Arabidopsis thaliana: one gene and its partner. The protein of the gene in region 2 interacts with the protein of the main gene of each other region in a pairwise test. Each region holds a gene or a part of one and is shown on either strand. Other genes may lie near its edges. The genes, in order: AT3G14710 and ATMRK1.

What was found.
Region 1: the proteins of ATMRK1 (region 2) and AT3G14710 interact in a protein complementation assay, tested with the Arabidopsis thaliana proteins (one large-scale study listed by BioGRID).

What each region holds. Positions count from the first base shown.
Region 1 is NC_003074.8:4,939,672-4,943,871, reverse strand, and holds AT3G14710 (RNI-like superfamily protein), read right to left. Parts: upstream 2,392-4,200; 5' UTR 2,328-2,391; coding exon 1,419-2,327; intron 1,323-1,418; coding exon 1,182-1,322; intron 1,096-1,181; coding exon 817-1,095; 3' UTR 808-816; downstream 1-807. Other genes in the region: AT3G14700 (SART-1 family), read right to left, coding at 2,550-3,164.
Region 2 is NC_003074.8:23,372,223-23,377,476, forward strand, and holds ATMRK1 (Protein kinase superfamily protein), read right to left. Parts: upstream 3,184-5,254; 5' UTR 2,526-3,183; coding exon 2,201-2,525; intron 2,097-2,200; coding exon 1,975-2,096; intron 1,887-1,974; coding exon 1,675-1,886; intron 1,562-1,674; coding exon 1,387-1,561; intron 1,324-1,386; coding exon of another isoform or gene 1,306-1,323; coding exon 1,171-1,305; coding exon of another isoform or gene 1,105-1,170; exon of another isoform or gene 1,075-1,104; coding exon 868-1,074; 3' UTR 659-867; downstream 1-658. Other genes in the region: HMT2 (homocysteine methyltransferase 2), read right to left, coding at 198-365; AT3G63255 (uncharacterized protein), read left to right, coding at 950-1,064, 1,151-1,323; AT3G63270 (nuclease), read right to left, coding at 3,710-4,486, 4,574-4,818, 5,008-5,176.

The DNA of each region.
Region 1 (4,200 bases), about 18 Mb from region 2:
AACATCACTTAACTGTAAATCTAACTGATAATATATACTAACAACAAACACACCCAAAAAAAAAAAAAAACTAAACCAACAGAAATCCACTAGAATGATCATAAATTACGGTTTTTCTATTTGTTTTCACTTACTATTTTTACCGTTTAAAACAATCAAGACAGTAGAGATGACAAAATCGACCACATGAAACATAACTTTTCTTTGATTTTGGATTTATTCTAAAGTGGTGTAAATTATAAGAGCCGAAATATCTCTGCCAAGCAGAACTTTTTCTTGTTTTGTTTGGTGGCCTTCTAAAATCAACGAACCTAATTTATAGTTCAATATTTAAAACACATCACTATCAAAATTATTACGCTAATAAGTTTGTGTCACCTATTACATCAACTAAAATAAAAGTATCTTTTACACATAACTCCAAAACTTCTTTTTCAATCTTTAAAACCAGAAAAACAGAGGACCATTTCTTATCATAAGATTTAGTCTAAATAATTATATTACTATACAAAAAATAATGCAATAAACTAGGTGATAAAAGAAGACAATAGAGGATGCTGCATCATATAAACAAATCATAATATAATGCATAGAAGTGGTCCAAGTGGGAGTGGCAGAAGAAGTTGCATGTGGTTAAGGGCACATCAACAACACTTGTTTCTGTCTTTAAAACTTGTCCAAAAGGCATATTCTTTTCTTTGAATCAGAGAATCCACATAGAGTTTTAATATCAAAGTTTCAGTGATGATCGAAACAAAGATAATAACTTTGCCGTAACCCACAAGGAACTGAGAATTGCAAAAGGTCAACTTTTGGTCATTCGAACAAGACAGAGGCATGGGGAGAGGCTTTAGGAAAAGCCAAGATTCTTGCTTTCTCTTCTTCTGTGATTGGATTGGGCGAGGAAAGGATGACTGATCCAAGAATCTCAGCATTGTCCAACACGTACCTCAACACTGATATCTGTAGCCTGTTTGGCTTAAAGTTCCTGATCTGCAGGACTTTGAGCATTGTTGTAACGCAATCCGGAGATTCTACTGAACGTAGTTCCTTCAAGGACTTTGCAGTAGGTGTTGAACGAGGAGATGTCAGGTCCTGGTTGTTTCACCGGAAAAGGGCAAGATCAGCCAAAGAGAAAAGATATTGGTACTGTCACAACATTCGATATAGTTAAGACTTACGCGGATGCTGAGCATCTCGAGTATTGGTGCGGATTTAAGGAACTGCATTAATCTAAAATGTTGTGTCATGTCGTATATCAAATGCAGGTATACCAACTGGCTGAATTTGGGTACTGCCATCACATGAAAATCCTTGCTAAGCTAAGAAAGGGCATTGAGATAAAGAGTTGTGAGTGACTTGAGCCATTAAAAGCTTTGAAAAGTTAAGAGGAAGATGTAATGTAATTTTTATCTAACCACGAGAGCCAAACTCGTCACGCATGTGAAGCTACGTAGAAACGTCTTGGGCCACTCGGATCTGCTGAGGGCAAGATAAGCATCAGGTAAAGACGGTGGAAAAGACAGATGGATTTTTCGGGGTTCGTCTCCACAGAATGTGATTTTCTCAAGCTTTGAAGCTAACACCCTGATCTTACACACTTGAGAAGGATTAGGTACGTGTTCAGATGTACACTTGAACATCTCAAAGATCCTAAGCAATGGAGAGTCTATGATCACAGTATCGGTTCTAAAGCAGCGGCAATAAGAGGCTTCAAAAGTTTCCAAGACAGGAAAGTTCAGAACGAGGTTCTTTGAGACAGAAGACATGTTGAAGATTCTAGCATCCTCGAGACTAAGGAACTTAAGGTTCGGGAGAATAGCGGGAGCCGAAATGTCAAGAATGCTTTTTGTACGGAGCCTTAACTCCACAAGCGAAACAAAACTAGGAAAAAGTGAAGAAAAACTGATGATCTCTAGATCGTTGCAAGTGACAACAAGTCTCTGAAGATTGCGCTTTAGTACCTTTGATAACCACGAGAAGAGAAGAGTCTCATCGAAAGTATTAACAGAGCATAGATAGAAACTGCTAATGTGCGGACTTCCAATGTCGCCAACCACACGCTCAACGAAGTCAGTAAATCGAGAATCACTCGGATCCCTCTGCTTTGTATCATCAAAATGTAAATCTGTGATGTTTGTCCAAATGTTCTTCCATGACTTTGATAACACAGAAGTACTAACAGCTTCAGCAGTTGGAAGTTGACTAAGAATTATGCTAACAACACTCTCAAGCAAGCTGCTGAATTTGTCTTCAAAGTTCTCACTGCATAGCTTAGTCTTCTTGGAAGATGGAACTAAACAGGCTTGCTCTGTCTCGGGATGCATTGAAAATCGTTTCCCTAATAAAACCAAAATATAATTCCAAAGAAGAATGCAAAAACGTTAGATTATACCAAAATAAATGGTAACATATATAGGTGAAAAGCAATGTTTTATGTGATGTAAAAACATCCAAGAACTCTTAAGAATATCAAAGCAAAATACCAAATTTATGAAGTTCTTAATTAAATGTCTTTGAGATTATCGTAATCAAAGAGAAGTTTATGACTAGAGAACAATGTAAGGAGTCTTGGATATGGCATGAATTTCTCTTATTCTTTCCACAGATCTCTCTGAAGATTCCATCTGTTTTGACTTATCTTCATGCTTCTTCCTCTGTTTCTCTTGCTTCTTCTTCCCAGGTCCCTTCCCATGGAATCCATGACACAGTGACCGATACGCTTCTTTCTCAGTCATTATCCTTCCCCACTTGTTCACCCTCTGAATCTGTATATCCTTAAATCTATCTTTGAATCTGTCATCTTCATGATTATTGTCCTTAACACCAACAACCTTGCCTTCCTCCTTGAAAGTTCCTTGCTCTCTAAGACGGTTTAACGCGCCCGATAACCCTGTCCCGACATCAGCTTCCCGCATAATCCCATCTCCTCTAACCCTAGAATGATTATCAATGGCCTTATCAACAATATCTTCAGCTTTGGAACAAACCTCTCTTCGTCTCTCTGATGATTCAAGCCTCTCTTTCTCATCTCTTACAGAACCAAGATCATGATCAGCTTCCACTCTCGAAGCAAGAACTTCTTTATCTAGAGCAATATTTATAACCAATTTCTTATTCTTCCTCATCGAATCTTTTTTCATAGCTACTTTGGACTGAGACATCTTTATCAAAACCCCGATGATGAGACAGAAACACGACACCGCGAAATTCAGAAGCTATGAGTGAATTCTCAATACCTTGTGACGTATATATAGATAGAGATACGAGAGATCTAGGTTATATTTTGACCTATCTTAGTTAGAAATCCTAACAAGAATAAGAAAATTAACTTTCAATACCTTATGATGATGTATCGAGAACCGAAGACCACAAAGAACCTCAATCTTAGATTCCACTTCAATCACATAAATTCGCCAAAAAAGTGTAGTCGATGAAAATCAATAGAACTTTTAAGGATTGACCAAGAGCCCTAATTGAGAAGCCAGTTTTGGTGGCTGATGATGACTAGAAGAATTTCCTTGCACCGCACGAGCCGAAACTAAATAAAAGCCGAAATCCACGTCAGGGTATATACCGTGCATTATATTTAGAGGAAAATATGAAAGTAGTTTTTTTAACAAAAACATAATAATTTTAATACTATAATTCTCTCAAATGGGAAGGCTATTAAACTTTACATGTAGCTCTCCAGTTACAAAAGGCCCAACCAGAAAAACTATCCGGATTTGGAATCAGAAACTTTAGATCCGATGGATTAAAGTAGTTTTTTTTTTTTCCAAATAAAACTTGAGAAAAGACTAGTTTTATGTCAAAAATTGCAATAGTCTGGGAGATGTTTTTGTCTAGTTTTTTTGGTTTTTGAAAACATGGTCATATCTAAACATGTTTTCACAAACCAATAAAATTGAATTCACCTCAAGCCCAAAGCCAATAAATTGAATTTTCACCTCAAGCGCAGGACCACCCGACGTCGTTTAGATAAACGGAAAGAGTAAAAAGTAAAAACCAACAGTCGAACACTTAACAGCGTTGTCGTTCAGTCCGAACTTAAACGCTGTCAGAACCTTGTCGCGAATCTCGCCGTTGATCTCTCGATTTGTTCTCTGAAATTAGGGTTCCGGAGGGTGGGGGTTTAGCGAGTCAAACCGTAGGGCGTTCTGAAGCGATGATTTTGGGGAATCTCCAATGTTGTTATCG
Region 2 (5,254 bases):
AACCATTGATGGAAATGAGAATGCTTTACTTCATCCACCTTTAGAGTACCCATGGCATTTACTCAATCAATCAAAGTAAACCTAAAAATCCTAGGGTTTATTCACACCCAAAATAAGAAAAGCACAAGGCCTTGTCCCGCAGCTGGACGTTGGATTCAGATTTCACTGACAACAGAAGAAAAGGATTTACTGCTTACGGTGTGAATGAGGTGAGGAGAGGTGACAAGGCATTTGGCGCTCCAGAGAGGATCGTTGAGATCTGCTCCATGTCTCTCGAACTCCGTTGCAAGCCCTCCGTCTATTACCGCATAGCCGCCTGTCTGCTTCAGGAAATCTTTCATCGAGTTAAAAGAGTTTCCGGTCATCTTGTATGTCGCCTCGGACCGATCACCCAACAACTCCCACTGAAGCGTGTACTGTGTGAAACATACGATAAACACAAAAAACTGTAGAGAGAAACACTCAAAATCTTTAGTACTAATTTTGTTTACAAATTGTAGGTTTAGACCTTTATCTTGAATACTAATAACAGTATCGGCCCAATCCTTTTCTATGTTTCCTTCAGACCCCTCTTGTAAGTAAGTTTTAACTCTCTGTTTTTTTCTTATCAGATTTTGATGATCAATTTGCATGTGTGCGTCGTGTATATATGAAATTCGAATCAACATCAAAAAATAAAATAAAGCTTAATCGAATTATACACGACTGTGTTAAGTATATAAATACATAGAGCGCAGAAAGATTCTTATGACAAAACCCACACCAATCCAACTCCCATAGCTCAAAGTAAATACAAAATCCAAAGAATCACGCAGCTCTCAAGAATATATCAGACACGGAGCAAAAAGGAAAGAGAGGGAGAGAGATTCAGGGGCCTCGAGGTTTGAAGAAACAGAGGCACCCCTGAAACTGGTCCGGAGCTATCATTCCACCACCTTTGCTTGTGTCTATGGCTTCAAGCAGCTTCACCACCTCCTCCATCTCCGGACGCCTGTCTGGATTCGGGTCCCAGCATCTCTTCATGATGTTTGCCACCGCATGCGGGCAGCATTTCGGAATCTCTGGTCTCAGATTCTGAGCAAGATGCACCAAACAGTGACTTCATTAGATTTCCTGATTAGCTTTAACATAGGAGAGATTGTATGTATAGACAGAGAGAGAGAGAGGAACCCTATGAACAACGGCGTGAGAGATCTCAGCAAAACTACAGTCAGCATAGGGCATGTCACAGCAGTATATTTCCCAGAGGCATACCCCAAAGCTATAGACATCGCATTTCCTGTTGTAAGGCTTTCCTTCAAGAACCTATGCAACAAAAGCTAACATTCTCATCTTTCCTATTACGAAACACAAGGATTTTGACTCTACAGGAACAACATTACATACCTCTGGTGCCATGTATCCAAGTGTTCCAGTTTCACCCGTCATGTCTTGAGGGTTCTGAGCTTCAACTCTAGCTACCCCGAAATCAGCGATCTTCAGCGTCTTGTTAGGCTGTAACAGCATGTTCTCTGACTTCACGTCCCTATGTACAATCGCCTTGGAGTGGAGGTAACTAAGCCTGAGACAAAGAAAAAAGGTAGGAAGAGTTTTGTTGATAAAGGAAGCATCTTTGTCTGAATAGTTTCAGAAATGAATGGCAAATCAGGAAACATAAAGTAAAGGAGAGATTACCCTCTAGCGAGATCCAAAGCGAGCTGAATGACATCCTTGATGGGTAGTTTGGCCCTATATTTCTTGATGAGGAACTTCTTAAGCGTGCCTCCGGCAACATATTCAACCACAACACAACAGGCCCTCGCAGGATGTGCACCGTTACCACGTCCGCCAGTATCACCAGCAGGAGGGATCCGCAGATCAGAGGTTCCCATGGATGCTCCTATAAACTGCCACAGAGAGAGAGAGGTCAAATGAATAAGTCCTTTGATCAAAAGGTTCTTCTTCTACCTTAATCGGTGAATGTAAAAAGAATACCTTGGTAACGTTGGGATGATCGAGCTTCTGCCAGACGGCGACCTCTTGCTCGAAGGAAGCACGGAGAGCTGTAGTTTCAGCTGGTGTGGCGTAACCATCTTCTCCCCAATCTAACACTTTCACTGCAGCAAACCATAACATCCATCAGACGGGAGATCCCCAAAAAAGACCACCAGTGTCTATCCTAATGAATCATATATATCTTAGTCTAGGAGAAAAGACGGACCTGCGACTTCTTGGCCGGCGTAGACACCGCGGTAGACAGTGCCGTAAGTACCGTGAGCGAGGACGTGCTTCATATCGAGTTTGGAGAGGTCAATCTCCCATTCCTGCATCGCCGGTGCGGGAGCGCTCGTGGAAGCGGAATTGGTGAGGACGCTGCTAGTAGAGGTTTGACCCATATGCAAATCCCATTTACTGAAATCCAGTGTATCTGCCCTGAAGTATCGTTCTTCTCCGGCGCTCCTGCTCCCAGTACCGCCTATTTTGGGATCCGCGGTCCCGGACCCGATTTCAAGTGATTTATCCGCCTCTCCGCCGCCAGAGGCCATTGATTTCTCTCTCCGGCCTTACTCTTTTGGAGAGCCACCAGCCACTAATACAACAATACTCTTCGATTCAAAACCACCCAGATGATCAATCGAAAATCAAGCAGTTCAATCAGTGAGTTGAGGGGACAAAGCTAGGTTTTTTTTTTTTATGTGGTGGAGAGAGAAAGAACAAGAAAAAATTGGTGGAGAGACAAAAGACAAGAGAGTTGAGAAAGAAGAAGAAGAACAAGTTAGTAGAAATCGATCGAAGGTGGTGGTGGTGGTCTCCACAAAAAAAAATACTCTTTTTCTTTTATAGTTTGACAAGTAGAGAAGGATCGGCGGTGCAGTGGGAGAGAGACCAAGTCTTAATGTCTTTTTGACAGTTTCACCGGCCAAAGAGTCGTTTTGTTGCCCTTTTCCAGTTTTTATTATAAAAAACTCTCTCTTGCAAAAACAGAGCTCGTCTGTCTTTGCTTCTTCTCGGTCTAGTGGCAGCCCTTCCGTCGCCGTTTATTCGTTTCCCCCAAATTTCTTGTAAATTTACATTCGACTTTAATAATATTTGTACATCGAGAAATGAATAACCTTTTTGGTTTGTGACGCAATCTATCGAAACCAAAAGGTCCACTGTAATAATCTCTCTTTAAGATGACTACTGTATTTAATTGTGTAATTCATAATAAAGAAATAAATCAGATTACGTAATTTGTTATAGACTATAGTTTATAGTTTGTCATGTGAATTTGTTGGGAATCTTCGTCCGTCGTTACTTGTGAGCACAAAGAACCAAAACCGAGACGCATCCACCAGAGCATATTCCTTTCCGTAGAATCACAAACTTTTCAACGCAGAGAGCGAATATAATGGAACCCAACAACTCAATACTAAAAGAAAACACCAATTATTATTAAAAAAATAACATTTACATTGCCAAAACAAACAGTTCCGTTGGGGATATAGTCCACTCCTCTCAAAAGATTAGTAGTTCACAAAGTATGGTAATCACACTTAAGGATGAATCTATTTTTGTAGGTCCAACTGGCATGATGTTAATCTGGTGTTGATACCTGAAGAAAAGTTTCATAACATTGCTTTTGTCCGATATGTCTCGGGCTACCACTAAACTGATGCTGAATGGTCTAACGGGCTTAGTACGGCCTTAGAGAAGAGATGAAGATGTCCAATTCCCAAGGTTAAGATCCTCACCTAAGCAAATGCTCAGTCAGACATCCTCTGAGCTCACTACCAAGCGGCTCGGTCTGCTTGCAGTACCGGTCTGCATAACCGGAGTCGTGATGACCAGACAAAGGAACATCTTCTTGAAGATAATCCCCACAGTCGATAATGATGTTATGCAACAAACAACACACCAGTATTATACTAGGTAGCTTCCTCCTGTCTGGTCTCCACATAACTTTGCTCAGAATCCTCCAGCTTCCTTTAAGCTGTTGAAAGGCAGTAGCTGCGACTGACCTCACCTTCTCATGCCTTTCGTTGAACGCCACCATGGAATCAGAGGGATGATCGCTGTCGTGAGGAGTTATAAGCCAGGGAAGAAGCGGGTAACTGATCCCTCCAACAACGTATTCTCTAATCTGGGCTCCTTGGGATAGAGTTTTAGGATTGCCGTCTAAAATCTGAGCGTTTTCACAGAGTTTGAAGAAGCCAGAGAACTTGAGAAGCTTGGAGACGGTCATGCCGCCAGGCCAGCCGGTAACCATGTTGAGAAATCTCATCTCGTGATCAAAGACTCCTTGTAAGAACATGCTGTAGTTCTTCTCCTGGTCACACCAGTCATCTGATGCTTGCACAGCCGGGAGAGTCATGATGATGTGCGTAGTGTCAATGGCTCCGCAGCAATTGGGGAGACCGTACATCTCCTCGAACTTTGACTTGATCTCTTCAATTCGGTCAGAATCTGGCCATCTAAGATGATGCTTGGCACGTTCTTCGAGTGCCTCGATGAATCTCCATGTAACCTGGGGAAACAAATGGATGGTGTCAGGATACAGCATATATATATTGAAATCAGGGAAATAGGGAGCTGAGTAGAGGTTGATTGGTACCTGAGAAACAGTGGACTGGCCAACACCAAAGGCAGCACCAACGGAGACCTGAGAATCACCGGAAGCTAACCTTCGAAGAGCAATGGCGACTTGTTTCTCAACACTAAGAAGCCTTCCCTCGATGTTGATGAGACCAGAGGGAGGTCTAGAGATAAGGTCCTCCCTGACGAGCGAGCAAATGTAGCTAAAAGTTGTCTTAGAAGCCCTAAAGAAGTGCTTGAACGCATAGTCTTCGTCTGAGGGGACTGAAAACAACAACAATCTCTCGGTTCAATTCAAAGAACCCTAGAGGAGCTACAAAAGCATGGAATCAAAAGGATGGAACAATCTAGTCAAGCAATAGCAAAACGACATTGACTAGTGGTAACTGATGGGGGAGAAGAGGAATTAAACTGAAATCAGGCTGAAAAGCGGGGAAGGAGAGAGAGGAGAACCTGAGGGAGAAGAGTTTCGGAGCCAGAAAGTATCCCACCAGTCGCAGTCGATAGCCTCCGGATCCAATGGCACTGCGTTGACTCTCTTCTTCTCTTTATTCTTCGCCAACTTCTTCGCCTTATCCAGAGGCTTCTTCTTATTCTTCTTCTTCTGCTTCACCGGAGCCATCGACGAGTACGACAAGGGTCAAGCCGGGGAGAAGCGGTTCGTCTGACTGGAGGTGGAACAAGGGTAAAAATGGGAATT